Linked DNA regions of Pelodiscus sinensis. The protein of the gene in region 2 binds, or shares a complex with, the protein of the main gene of each other region. Links are inferred from orthologs where the notes say so. Each region holds a gene or a part of one and is shown on either strand. Other genes may lie near its edges.

Evidence for each region.
Region 1: SMC5 (region 2) and NSMCE2 share a complex: the UniProt entries of both Homo sapiens proteins name them as parts of the SMC5-SMC6 complex. The link is inferred for Pelodiscus sinensis from reciprocal best matches to the Homo sapiens genes SMC5 and NSMCE2.

Annotation. Positions count from the first base shown.
Region 1 is NC_134712.1:18,605,907-18,613,051, forward strand, and holds the start of NSMCE2 (E3 SUMO-protein ligase NSE2), read right to left. Parts: upstream 3,276-7,145; 5' UTR 3,129-3,275; intron 1-3,128. Other genes in the region: WASHC5 (WASH complex subunit 5), read left to right, coding at 6,510-6,695. UniProt on the Homo sapiens protein: E3 SUMO-protein ligase component of the SMC5-SMC6 complex, a complex involved in DNA double-strand break repair by homologous recombination. Is not be required for the stability of the complex.
Region 2 is NC_134716.1:32,820,566-32,828,241, reverse strand, and holds the start of SMC5 (structural maintenance of chromosomes protein 5), read right to left. Parts: upstream 3,243-7,676; 5' UTR 3,047-3,242; coding exon 2,871-3,046; intron 1-2,870. UniProt on the Homo sapiens protein: Core component of the SMC5-SMC6 complex, a complex involved in repair of DNA double-strand breaks by homologous recombination.

The DNA.
Region 1 (7,145 bases), on a different chromosome or scaffold from region 2:
TAAGCATCACCCTAAATGTGTAATGCTTACTGGTTCCAGTTAACCACAGGGGCCAGAGCAGCTCCGCACCCACTCCAATCAGGGGGCTACTCCAACCCCACAGGACCCTTGGCAAGCAGGGGCTTTTCTGGCCAGCCAGAGTCTGTGATGGGCCTGGCCCAGCCTTCCCACCAGAGGTTGCAGGAGCAGGGCCAGCAGCTCTCACCAGCTCCTCTGTGGCAGGGAAGCCTCCTCTCCAGGAGCAGAGCCGACAGGGACTGGTAACCCCACTCTCAGGGAGGCTTCACTGTAGGCTCTGCAGTATAAAGCTTATTAGACCATCTTTTTAGAGAATCTTTCTAAGCAGCCACTGTTCTTGTCCGTATGTCATGGGATTTTCAACATACCGCTCCTGTGCACGTGCCAATGCGGCCTGGCTCAGTGCAGCACCTCATGGAGTAGAGACAGTGGGAGCTGAGCCTGCAGAACACAAGGAGAGGGGAGGGAAAGGGAAAGGAGGGGACTGAGCCATCAGAGCATGGGGAGAGGAGACGGAGGGGGCTGAGTCTCCAGATCACCGCGGTGGAAGCAGAGCTGCCCCTGAGCCGAGATGGGTGGCTCTTTCCTTCTGGCCCCTGAGCACCGGGCGGGCAAGAACCTTGCAGTTTTTACTAGTGGAAACACACTATATTTAAGACCAAAAAGACAAAAATATTTAAACTTTTTAAAATCTCAGCAGTTCCACACACTGCGGATTCTGCAGTATAAAGTTTAAAGTATATATATAAAAAACACTGTGAGAAGACAATCTTTCTAAAAGCGCACCAAAAGACTAAAAATAAAGTTTTCACCTAGCAATTTAGGAGAAAGATTGGATGGCTAAATATGATTCAAGGTAGTTGCTAACTGTTAGCCATCCAATCTTTCTTCTAAATTGCTAGCAAACAGAGGCTAAGGACACCCACTGCATGGGGTTGCTTCCCTTTCCTTTTCCAATTCTAATATATCGTTTTTGAGAGGGGATGACCAAATCTACATGCAGTATTAAAGATTTGGACATACTATGGATTTATACAGAGGTATTAGGATATTTTTGTTCTATTATTAAGGTTGAGATTTTGCCATAGAAATTTTTCAAAGTCACAGACAGGTAACAGGCAACAAACAAAAATTCATAAAATCCATGTCTGTAAGGTGGGGAACCTGACAATCCGAGATCCACCCTGTTGGTGGGGTGACTTAAAGCTGCTTCAGACCCAGGAGCAGGGGTGGAGGCTGACAGCTGCTTCAACACTCCTGGTGTGGTGCAGCTGTAGTCAAAGAAGCCACATGGGTCCATTAAAGTCATGGAATCCATAACTTCCATGACAAAATTATATCCTTATTTACTATCTTTCCCTTTTCTAATGATGCCTAACATTGTTACCTATTTTGACTGCCTGGACATTGAACATGTTTTCTGTGAACTATTCACCATGATTCCTTGATCTCCCTCTTGAGGTCTAAATTAGCTAGTACAACTCATCACACTGTAGGTATAGCTCAGATTATGTTTTCCAACAGCATTACTTTGTGTTTTATGTCATTGCATTATTCAGATATTTATGCTTATACTGCACTGCTTTCTAGCTGCTGCCAGAAGGATGAGGAGTGTGTTTCTGACACTGTAGTTTCCTTAGTAAGGATGTTAAGAAGAGGGTAATTGACTCATCATAGTTGATACAATTTGCCTCTGATAGAGGCAGTGTGGGTGGGGGGACAGGTAGCACTGCAGAGACAGTGCTGGGGGAACTAGCTTTTAAGCAATCCAAATTGCTCTGAATCAGTGACCTGTCCTCTTCATTATTTACCAGGACCCCAATTTTTGTATAATTTACAAACTGTATCAATGATACTATATTTAAAAGGCAGAGCTGCAGCAGTGGACCCAGCACAAGATGGGATTCAGCAATCCTAGCTCACGCCGGGTCCTGGACCACCACACCTCTAATTTTTAAATGTAGTTAAGAAGCTCTGCCTTTTAAACGTAGTAAGTATAAATTGTATTGAGTACATGACTAGTCAATTACCTGCTACCTAACACATCCTTACTCTCAAGGCCACCCTCCCAGACACTCTGTGCTCCCCTTTGTTCTTCTGTCTTCATTGTCCTAATGCTGATCCCCAACCCCATCTCTCCCCATCCTCCGCAACCCGATGGGGGAAGAGTTCCAGCTGAAACATCTGAAACATGCAAGTCTGCCATCTTGGCCTTCCTATCCTGGGGCCACACCACAGGCTCTGCCTGGCAGGCATGGAGGTGACAGTAGCACTGCCACTTGGCTGGGGTGGGCAAAAGGGCACCCCTTGCTGGGCCAGGACATGGAGTGAGAGACTTCACATGTTCTCCCCCCCCAACCCCTCTGCCTGCCCGTAGGCCAAGCAGAGCTTGGGGATGGAGGGAAGCGTGCAGTCTCCTCCCACCCTGTAAGGGTTAGAGTCAACTGCCAGGCCCCCTTGTGGGGCAGGGGCAGGGAGCAAGAAATTTCCCCATGTTTGCCCTGCTCTCATGCCCTCATTGACCGGAGGGCAGGGGGAGCAAGCAAAGCCTCTCTCTCCCTGTCCCCACCTTGCAAGGGGCGCCCTTTTGCCCACTGCCAGGGACATGGGTGCCTAGAGGGAACAGCTGGTGGTTCTCTATGGGGGGGGGGGGGTGAGGGCAAAGACTTCACAGGGTCACCCAGGCCAATCGGGGTCTGTGGACAGGAAAGCAAGAAGTGTCCTGGCCCCTCCCCTTCCACAGTGGCCAGGGGCCACTTCAAAAATTTCTGAAGTGCCTCCCGTCTAAAATTATTGCCCACCCTGCTCTAGACTGACCCATGCTGGAGGGAGCTGCAAGAGATGCCTCAGGGGCAACAGATGCATCTTGTTAGGGAGCAGCCTCTGGAGTCTAACCTAAGTGGGGAGCATCACACACACACACACACACTACACTCCTAAACACACACACACACCCTCTCACACACACACACACACAGCTGAGTGCTTGAGGGAGGCCTGCCAGCCTCTCCCCCGCCCCCTCATTGCTGGCTGCTTCCCCCTCTAGCAGCAGCCGCCCGCCAACCCCTACTCTGCCCGTAGCTCTGGCGGGGCCGCAGCTGCCCCCCTACCTGGTGCCAAGCCCCGAACCGGCAGCGGCAACAGGCCGCGCTCGCCTCCCCCCCCACCGTTGGCGAGGTCTCTCCGCGGCGCAGGCGGGCCGCGGGCAGGAACCGACTCATCAGCCGGCGCCGGTGCACATGACCCAGGGCCGCCGGCGCGGGGTAGGCGGGCCGCTGCGCGGAGAGCTTCCGTGTGGGGCGGCCGGGCCTGCAGTCGCCTGCGTCGGCCTGAGAGGCCTGGGGGAGCCCGGCCAGCAACCGGGGCGCGACTGGCTCAGTAAGGGGGGTTGACAGGCCCTGGTCTTTCTTGGGGGGCTCATATTTGGGGTGGAGGGGGGAAGCAGGGGCTCCACCCACCCCTGAGGAGGCGGGTGCTTTGACTTTGGGGGGCGGTTAATTCTGGGGTGGTCCTGTGCTGAGGGGGTGCTATGACTTTGGGAGATGCTGTGACTTTGGGGGCGGTTAATTCTGGGGTGGTCCTGCGCTGAGGGGGTGCTATGACTTTGGGAGATGCTGTGACTTTGGGGGCGGTTAATTCTGGGGTGATCCTGTGCTGAGGGGTGCTATGACTTTGGGGGCAATTAATTCTGGGGTGGTCCTGCGCTGAGGGGGTGCTATGACTTTGGGGGGCGGTTAATTCTGGGGTGGTCCTGTGCTGAGGGGTGCTATGACTTTTGGAGATGCTGTGACTGTGGGGGCGGTTAATTCTGGGGTGATCCTGTGCTGAGGGGTGCTATGACTTTGGGGGCAATTAATTCTGGGGTGGTCCTGCGCTGAGGGGGTGCTATGACTTTGGGGGGCGGTTAATTCTGGGGTGGTCCTGTGCTGAGGGGGTGCTATGACTTTGGGAGATGCTATGACTTTGGGGGGCGGTTAATTCTGGGGTGGTCCTGCGCTGAGGGGGTGCTATGACTTTGGGGGGCGGTTAATTCTGGGGTGGTCCTGCGCTGAGGGGGTGCTATGACTTTGGGGGATGCTGTGACTTTGGGGGCAGTTATTTCTGGGGTGGTCCTGCGCTGAGGGGGTGCTGTGACTTTGGGGGACAGTTAATTCTGGGGTGGTCCTGTGCTGAGAGGGTGCTATGACTTTGGGGGATGCTGTGACTTTGGGGGCGGTTATTTCTGGGGTGGTCCTGCGCTGAGGGGGTGCTGGGGATTAGTGTGGGGCTGGCTGTGCTGGTGGGAAAGTGGGGGGTGTTTGTCAAGCACTCTCTGGGCATTTCTCTGGAGGAGAGGATACCGCGCAAGTGCCTGGTGGCTGCGGATTTGGTGCAAAGGAAAATGGTTTGCGCGCAGGGGCGGGCAGCGAGTGGGGCTGAGGTGTATTCCAACGCACATGCTGGAGATCACAGCTGGGTGAATGCAAATGACTTCTTGGGTATCCCCTTGAAACATACTGTGCAAAAGCGATAGAAATGTAGCCGTGTTAGTCTGGTGTAGCTGAAACAAAAGCAAAAGCCTTTGACTGCTAAAAGCAGCCTTTAATAATTACACCAAAATGAGGGCCTCTCTCTGTCCCAGGGAACAAGACCTAACCGCTTCTGCGAATTATTCCTTTTGGACAACTGTCAGGCTGACTTAGAAATATTTTAATGTGATATTCATTTAAAATCAAGAAACCATTTTTTTAAGAACAGGATGAGGAATAATTTAAAGCCCATTCATGCTCTCCTTGATTTAGGCCCTGGTCCTGCAATAAGTACTGTACAGGCCAACTTCTGCACCCATGCAAAATTCATTCCAGGGCTGTGTACTTAAGAGAAAGATTGGACCCTTACTAGGTGTGTTGTAGCAGAGTGGCTTTAAAGGAGAAGCTTTCAACTTGCATTTAGCTCAACATTTCTTAAAATAAGCTTTTGTGAGTCTAATATAAATACAAAAGTTTCCACAGATGGTTTTTAAAAATGAAAACAGATGTCTTTGACATTGTTGCAGTAAATATCTCACAGGGAAAGTGATCATAAATATAATTGCCTTTGATTTCCATTGGCCAAGCTGAGAGACATGCAAAAATGAAACAAATTGTTTAACTGAACTGTTTGCAAGCTTAAGACATAATTTTCATTTCTTATTCATACTTTACATATGATTGTATTGACTGAAATTGTATGAAGAAGGAGGTGCTTGCAACACTTGTGATTTTGTTTTAAGAAGCCTTGTTTGCGCTCTGTGTTTGCTCCAGTGACAACTGTAGCTCAGGCTGTGTTTCTGGATACCTACCTTCTCTTCCTACCTCTGTCACTTACTTGTTTTGTCATCTTGGGCAAGTAATATAACTTTCCTGTGGCTCAGTTAACTTATTCCTGTGGGTCAGATAATTTATCTATAAAATGGCTATATTTATTGTGACAGGTTTGATCATAGAGAATACAGAAACGATACATGCATATATAGATTATACACATTCAGTGGATTACATGCTTTTCAAATAGAATTATATGCTATATATTGCACAAATCATATTCAAGTTAGGCATATTCATATTCAAAAGCATATTTCTGTAAAGTATATGGAAGTGCAACTTCACATTTATGTTTACCCCTTTTGTAAAAGAGGACTACATATTAGATAAATATTTCAGCTATATTGGAAAGAGATTGTTACTGGTTTCCATTAGTATTAAAATACATTGTGCAATATAGTACAGTGAAATATACCAATACCACCTGGGAGTAAAGCAGCAACATATTTGTTTTCTTATAATGTTCTCTTTCTTTGGGGAGAGAGGGCCTAGGAGTTCCCTAGCACATAGAGGCACATAGACAAATATAAACACTGCAGCTGGTTAAGGTGTTCTTGGGCTCTTTTTAACTGGGAAAATTAAGATTTCTGACTTGGAGAAAGATCACTATGGCTTGGAAATTTAACCACAATACAAAAGGTGTCTGTGTAGCAATGAATAAATGACCCTGAACTGTAATTAGCTGTCATTGATCTATGCTGTAGCATATTTGCTTGTGTTGTGTTGTAGATCTAAACTGCTCTGTGCAATCCTTGTGTCAATGTTTACATTTTGCTGCAAGGCCTGACACCTGCTCTGATTATTTTGCCCTTTAGTAGCTATCCAGTAAATTTTTAATCTAATCTCTGAGATGATTAGGTAACTGCTGTTTAGATGCAGAAGATGCACTACCGTGTTTATTTTTTCATCTGTCATCTAATCACAATTTCTGGAGAATATAGAGTTCTGTTACTATAGATTTTCCAGAGTTGCTTTAATTTCTTGTAGATTGAGTCATTTAAAATATGCTGAATATGCAATTTGTTTTTACAGGAATTTCAAATGGACCTCATATATTTCCAGTTACACTTCTTTCTCCAAATGACATGAAGATTGAAACTCAGAAAGAGACTGCAATAATATCACTACTCAGTCACAATCATCTTCAAGATGGTTGATTTTCTAGCTGAAAACAATCACTGTGGCCAGGCAATTCTTCGGATTGTCTCTTGTGGAAATGCTATCATTGCAGAACTTTTGAGACTGTCTGAGTTTATTCCTGGTGTTTTTAGGCTCAGAGACAAAGCTGATCAACAGAAGTATGGGGATATCATATTTGATTTCAGTTACTTTAAGGTAAATATTACTTTGCTCTTGTTAAATCTCTCTCTGAGCCATCATTTTCTTACAGTAGCACTATTTCTTTAGGGTGTTTTAGCCTTTTGGCATGCTTGTGTTAAACCTGTTGGTCTTGAGTAATTAATTTGCATAAGAATGGCCATACTGGGTTGAAACAAAGGTCCATCTAACCCAGTATCTTCCAGCAGTGGCCAACACCAGGTGCCCTAGAGGAAATAAACAGAACAGATAATCATCAACTGACCCATCCCATTGCTATCAAACATGAAAATTTAGTAAAATGTATTTTATACTGAATTTAGTATTGGCAATACATTCAGCCAACATGAGGTTACAGTTTGGATATGCCTGCATATTAGTTCTTTATTACCTGAGTAAACTAAATCCAGTAATTTCATATAATATTTTTCCACTGCCTTGTTAGTTCCTGAGAGTCAGAAACAGAGT
Region 2 (7,676 bases):
CAGTTCCCTGCACATTTTCTTTCCTGTCTGCCGCTGCCACTCCACTTGTATCTCCTTCAGGAATGTATTACTCCACTCCATTTGCTCTTTAAACATGTCTTCTCTTGTCCATTTTTGCCTGCGGATTTGTGTAATTTGGACAGCTGCTGGAGCCAGGGAGTATGCAACAAGCTCCCTGCTGTTCCCACTGTAACAAAGTTACAAGGACACACATTACAGGAGATGCATTGTGGAGTCTAAAACCTAATCTATAAATATACAGTGAAGATCTCTCTAACGACAATGAAAATGTGCAAGGTAGGGATGTTCAATATCAGTTAATTGAATAGTCAATTAACTTCAGGAATTCTTATCAGTTAGTCAACTATTCTATAGTCCCCGAGAATAGGGCCAGTGTGAACCGGAACTTAGGAGGCTGCCAGTCCACCTGGCTCCTAATACATTTTAAATGCATACCCATAGCAGGGGTAGTAGGTCCCAGTAGGGGTTCCTTGAAAATATTTTAAGCTGAAAAGAGTTCCATGGCCAAATAAAATCAGGAAACACTGGTCTAAAGAATTAACCTATAAGCTTTTGCAAGGCCAAAGTCATGCTTTAAAGCAGACACTGTAAAGCAGGTACACAACAGGGTTCTCAAGAGAGCCTCTGGACTCACAATCTGGAGGCAAGCATGGTAAGGGGCCTGCCAGGGCATGATCCTGCGGGCGGGGGGGAGGACGCTGGGGCAGGACAGTGACTCACGTGGCTTTCCTCCTCTGCATTCACTACAACCTGCTTCTTGGGAGAACGCTATTCTCCCATCTTGCAGGAGCCTGAGGGGTAGGAGGATAGCAGAGTCTGAAGCCATGCTAGCAGCAGAGGCAGCAGCTAAAAGCTTCTCCCGCTCCTTCATCCAAGTTGTCATGCGAGATATCAGTCTTCTCCAATTCACACAGAGTGATAGGGAGCTGATGTTGACTGAAGGTGGCCAGAAACCTGGGCCTTATGCTGCCAGGCTTTGTGCTGCAGTGACACCAGACCACTTACTGCTGACTTAGCATGGGAAGGAGTCCTACCATGGATGATGGAATAAGGCTGGTCTCCCCAGAAACACTGTGAGAGGGATCAGAGTTCCTCTATGAGAGCTTCATGGAGATATGCAGGGAGGATTCCTTCTCCATCTCCAGATATATTAACAAGCTGTTCTGTGCCCCCATCTTGCATGTAGCACAGTTTATGCATCACATCCAAGGAAAAAAAATTGTGAACTCACCAGAAGTGTCCTCCCCAGAATTATTGCTTGATTGTGAGATGTTCTGGGAGGAGGGAATTGGCTCCAAAGTGATGAAAAGTAGGCGGCGCTCACCACTCACAAGCTGGCTGTTCTCCTTGTCCTCCTCGTCCTCTTCCACCACCTCCCTATCCTCCACTCTGTTGCCCCGTGTGTCTTGGGAGGATTCCACAATCTGGCCTGGGAAGTGGGTCGAGTCCCCCCGTAGGATAACATGCAGCAATTTGTAAAAGCAGCATTTTTACAGCCATGCACCAGAGTCCATTTGCTTCTTATTTTGTAATAGGACTGCCTCAGCTCCTTTATTTTAACTCTGCACTGTTAGGAGTCCCTGGAGTATTTTCTCTCCACCAGGCACCATGCTATCTTAGCATGGTTATCAGTGTTTCTTTTGCTGTTTCAGAAATCAGACAAAATGGATTCTTCACCCTATGCCTCAATGAGGTCCAAGATCTCCTGCACACTCTATGCTTGTGGTCTTTTGCACCTCTGGGAACTGGCACCCTGGGAATTCGAATTTATGGGAATCATGACCAGGTATGCGGATTACTATGAGGTGTGCTCACAACGCTGGCCACATAGGAAATGAAAATTCAAACTTTCCCAGGTCTTTTCCTGTTCACTTGAAGATCAGTAGAGGCACAATTTCTGGCGAGAGCATGGCACTGAGTTGCCTCCTGGAGGACAAAAACCTTGACTTCCTCCATGCTGGATCTACACTAGGAATGTAATAGCTTAACTGCTTAAATAGTTATACAAGAAGCATTAGCTTATCTGTTACCATAACGATTACAGATCAGCTTAGGCTTGATAACGTGGACTCATTTTTTAGAAAAATTGACCTTATGCAGTAAAATTCAGCCTAATCTCCTAGCATAGACAGGCCTTGGTGTTTACTTATTGTGATAAATAAGCCCAGCCCACAACTCCAAACACAGTCCTTTCCCAGCCTGTCTGCAGAGTTCAGCAAACATCCAGGTTGCTTGTCCCCAGCCATAAGGCTACGACTATTTTTTTTCTGGGGATGGGGAACACAGTTCCAAATAAGGCATGAGAAGAACGCGCTAGCCAACACACAGCACCTTGCCCAAGCTGTGTGCAGTGGTGCTGTCCAACACTAAAGGTACCGCCAGTGACACACACCCTGCGCCAGTGACACACACCCTGCGCCAGTGACACACACCCTGCCCACATCTTACAAAAGGCCTGTGAACTGGCTACCATGATCACTGGATGGAGGGGAGGGGGGTCAGGAGCCACATCAGCCACACTGGCCCAGCACAGGCACCACCCAACAGTCCTGCCACCTGTCAGGGGGTGGGAGGAGGGGGCGGACTGGGAGCCGGCTCCCTCTCACTGTGGGAGAGGATAGTAGGGGTAGGACGGCCCTTCCGTGCAGTTTCATCAGCCCCTGGCACAACCCAGCTCCAGGAACCGGGGCCGATCCCCTGACTCCCGGAGCTAGGTCCCCCCCCCCGAGCGCCACATACTCCACACGCTCCTCCTCACGGCCTGGCGGAGCCCAGCGGCCAGGGACTCGCGGTAGCCCCCTGGCACGAGCCACGCCCTCCCCCCGCGGCTCTTGCTGCCCCGCACTCACAGGAAGTTCTCCATGGTGACCCTGACTACAGAGCCCTCCACGAAGGGCGACGGCGGCTGCCCCAGGCCGCTCCCCTCTGGCCTGGCAGCCCCCGAGCCGCGCTTACTGCACCCGGCGCCGCTCCCGCTCGGCCCGCCAGTGACGGCCCCGAGTTTCCGTTTGCCCGGGGCCGCCATCTTCCTTCGCACCAGGCTAAAGCACCGCCCACCATCCCGGCGGCGTGGGGCGCGCGCCGTGAAGATGAAAACGGGCCCGAGCCGCGCGCCCTACTCCCATTGGTTAGACGGCGCGGCCTGCGAGGGGAGGAGGAGGCCATTGGCTCGTGGAACCCCCAGGCGCGACGTCGAAAGCTCATAGGCTGAGAGGTGGAACGGCGGGGCCAATTTGGTACTGTCCGTTCAGCGACAGGGCTGTTTGCCAGCGGGTCTCGCGAGACCGACGGGCGGCCTGTGTTGTTGCTGTGGGCTCTCCGATAGAGCTTCTCCCATAGGGATTTACATGGCGATCTGGCTGGGGTGGTGGGCGCCTTATTTGCATGAAATGGAATCGCAGAGGCGTATTCTTCCCCTCCCCCCGCCTTACAGGGCTAGTTACTGACATCGGGATTCTGCCTTCACGTGTAATGCAGCCACATCAAACTACACCGCCCAGCATGCAGCGCGGCAAGTGGGCCGTCGCGTTCCCTATCAGTAGCTGAGCTTTGCATGCTGGGAGACGTAGTTCTCTAGCGCTCACTGCCCCTCCCACGTTTTGAGAGCTACTCTCTTGTTTGGGGTGGCAGGCTCAGCATTTCGGGAGGTAGGGAAAGGAGGAGACTTGTTCATTCCACCCGCTGCCTTCTCCCAGGGCCAAGGGGGAACCCTGAGACCGCCTGGGCCCATCCCCAACACTGGGTTTCTGTATTAAAGTGGCACCTTGTAGACTAAACAGATGTATTGGAGCATAAACAAAAGACAGGACTATGCAGCACTTCAAAGACAAACAAGATGAAATGTTTCTGGCAGGGGACAGGGTAATAGCTAGTATCTTCCTATTTGCTGACACCAAAATCATTTATACTTTTAATATGGCTAAGTGTGTCATTTTTAAATCACTGATCCCTTCCCTGATATTTGAAGTTGGGAAGCATAAAAGCTTTTGTTACAAAAAATGTATTAAAGTGATTTCAAACTAAGGATTGTGATGTTGTCTTTCCACCAGATGGCAGCATAATCTAGGAATTCTTACACAGAGAAAGAATTTTAAAGACATATACCGGATATACAGAAGTATTAAAAAAAAACCTTCCAGAACATGCATGTTTTAGCTATTTGCAATCAACCAATGAACTGGGGCAGAAATAGCCTTCAAAAGGGAAGCTGATTGATTGAATGGATAATTAGCCAGAGACATTGTTCCTAAAAGTCATTGGTTATTTAGCATCCCTTTCCCCTCCTTTTGAGGAGGATCCTAACCGGATTCATGTTAAGAGTGGGTAAGTATATTATCCCATAACAATTGGAACTGGCAGGACTTCCACCAATGGCACTAAGGTTTCTGCAAGTTCCTTTCCTTACAGCGAAAGTGACATCATCTCAGCCACCAATACAGCTTCCAGCCTTTAAGAACAGGGCAACTAGATTAAGGAGCTACATGAAAGCAACACTGGAGTAACAAAGTGATAAATCAGGCCCTTATGTTAAACCAGGATTAATCTAATACTGAGTCAGAATCTGGTCTAATTTACACTAATGGAAATCCAAATGAACGATTAAACTCAATGTAGTTACTCTGGATTGAAACCAGTATAACTGGTAAGAATTTGTCCCTTTTAAGTAATAAAAATATGCAAAAAGATGAACTAATAGAACACACACATATAAACAGCAAAATAAAGAAGACAGTATTACCAACAACAAAGGGACAATGGAAAGATCTGTCCTGCTCTTAGGATAATGCCTGTTTTATGCAATACAGTTTGTTGTCCATGGTCATTAAAGGGTCATGTGTTGCCCTGAAGCAGTGAATTCAAGAGGCACAAAGTGGCTTACAACCACCTTTTCCCCCCTTTCATTCTTCTGTCTAGTGCAATGGTTTTCAACATTTTTTCATTTGTGTACCTTAAACAATTTCAAATGCAGGTGTGGACCCCTATCTAAATCTTAAAACGTAGTCTGTGGACTCTCCACTGTTCCATGGACCTCTTAGACATAAGTCTGCGGAGTGCAGGTTGAAACCAACTGGTACAGTGCAAAGAAGCAGAAACATCTATCATGTCCTGGTGACGGGAGAAATGATGTTTCTTCCTGCCCTCAGAATAGTGTCTCTCTCTCTAGGGGACAAGTTCTGCCCCCAATTGTACCCATATAAACCTGATACCAAGGGGGTTGTCTACATTAATGCATGCATTCATAAGCATGCATTGTTAAATTCTTCTCTCAGTTGTAAGCATGTATCTTTATCTCCGAGGACTTTTGACTTTTAGCCATTCACTGATCTAATTTAATCCAATTAAAAGATCAGACCTACACTGCTGAAACAGAGATCAGCATGTAACATCATATATATGTATTTTGAAGAGATTTTGCATTTTACTTCATGTATAAAACAAGGTTCTCAAAGATTATTCTGAAGTATCCAGAAATGCAGAGCCCATTGATTATAACCATCTTATTTTCACAGTATTTCCCTGTTACATGATTTGAATTTGTATATAAACTGAGATGGATGGCAAGTGACGAGTTAGCAATATAGCTGATGTACATATCATTAACTCTCTAACATTGCCTAATTCAGAACAACTGAAAACTACATCAACATTCCCTTTTTTATTGTTTCCATTTCCTGTTTCTAAAATCAAAGATGATTTTAGTGTGGAGGCATTTCCCAGGGAGTGGTAGCCAGCTGGGATTGATGACCTTCCACTATCAGGACATCAGTCCTTCACAGCTAATCAATAATCCCCAGGAGATGTGCTGTATTTCAGGAAATATTAGCTAAATGACACATCTTAAGATTTTTGTTTTATGTATGTATTGTATTGAACAAATCCTTTGATTGTGCCGCCAATGTTTAGGGGAAAAAAAAGACATCAAAAGCCAGCTGATTGGAGGCAGAAGTCTACCCAGCAAAAATAAAACCACTGCAGCTGTAAGTCAGAGAGCCTGAGTAAACCAAGTCAGTCTTATGCTATTGGGTAACAGCAGCAGCGTACAAGACATTTGGGTTTGGGCTTGGGCCCAGGCTCTGAGACCCACCCCTCTCACCAGGTTTCAAGAGTCTGGACACCATTCTCAATCTGAATATTTACACTGCAATATTTAGCCTCATAGTGCAAGCTCCCCAAGCTTGAGTCATTTGATCCATGCTCTGAGACTCACTACTGCAGTTCTTTTTTTGCAGTATATACTTACTGATAGAGAGCCAGATCTTCAAGTTGTGACCAAGGAATCACCTTGTGGCAGGTTGGTGGGGGAATGAATTGGACTCTTAAGTGCAAGTCAGAGCAGCCTGAAGTCTGCTCCAATATGCATCAAGGCCATCAGTCCTACGGCAAGCCCGTTCAGGGGGTGGTGCGAAGGATGTGAATGCGCCCTTCGTATAGTTTCTCAAGTTGCCCCAGCCTCCCTCCCCCATGTTTCGGCCGGCCAGGAAAAGGCTGGGGCTGACCCCCACCCAAGAGCAAGGCAGAGGGCAGGGCTGGGCTGCTGTGGCAGGAACAGGGCAGCAACCAGCCCCTCTCATGGCTTGGGGCAGCCTGCCACAGCCAAACCCCAGCCAGACAGGCTGATTCTGCCCCAGTTCTCTCAGGTGGCCGGGGAAGTGGACTGCCAGTCTGCTTCATGATCTATTGGTTGACTGCTTGTGATTGACGAGTCGACAGCAATCGACGTCTTGTGCACCCCAGATATAGGATATAATTGGGGCCTGCTGGGCGACCCACAGTCATTGGGCGACTAGCGCTGCTTGGTAGCAAAGATGGCTACCAGTTAGGACGCCAATATAAAGCAACAATAGACAAACTGATTAAATGTACGTGTTAGCTTTCTATCACTGACAGTTTATTTTGAAATGGCTGTATATAGGCAATTTCACTGCAACTTGTTTGATTCCGTGTATTACTAATATTATTCTTGTTTAAATTAGTTTTTTTTTTAATTGGTTTTTAGGCACAACTGGAATATAACTGGAAAATAAGGAACCATTTCAAATTTAAATGAAAATTATTTAAAAATAAAGCCCTTTATAAAAAACTGTCCCTTATATTGCAGTTGTTCCAATTTTTATTCAAAACAGATTTAAATATCACTCTGGGGAGAAGGAGCAGCAGGAAATCTCTATTTAAAAAAACTAACCTCCACATTTACAAAAAAAGCACACACATACACACCCCCAAAATTCCTGCATATGGGTCTGAAAGGGACTATTACAGAAGCTGGGGATCACTGGGGTATAAGGGACTATCGGCTACTCCTGTCTTCTGGGCCACATACCCTGTAGTCAGCAGCCAGAATAGTGATTGACATAGGAACTGTTAGAGTGTCTACATGCAGACTTCTCCTATAGCTGGACACATTGGCTTTGGGGTTTCTCTGGGCTTCTCTGCAATGCCAAATATACTGGAAGGTCCAGCCCATCATTTTTTTCTGAAAATTCTGAACTTGTCTGAATAGCCTGCCAATAACAAGAGAACACCATGTTTGATATGGAGCAATAAAATAAGACATTATTCAAAATTACATTTTATTAGCTGTTTTTAAATTATCAAACTAGCCATCTTGTATACAAACACGCATATAATGTCTTAAGAGTTAACAGGTTATGTGA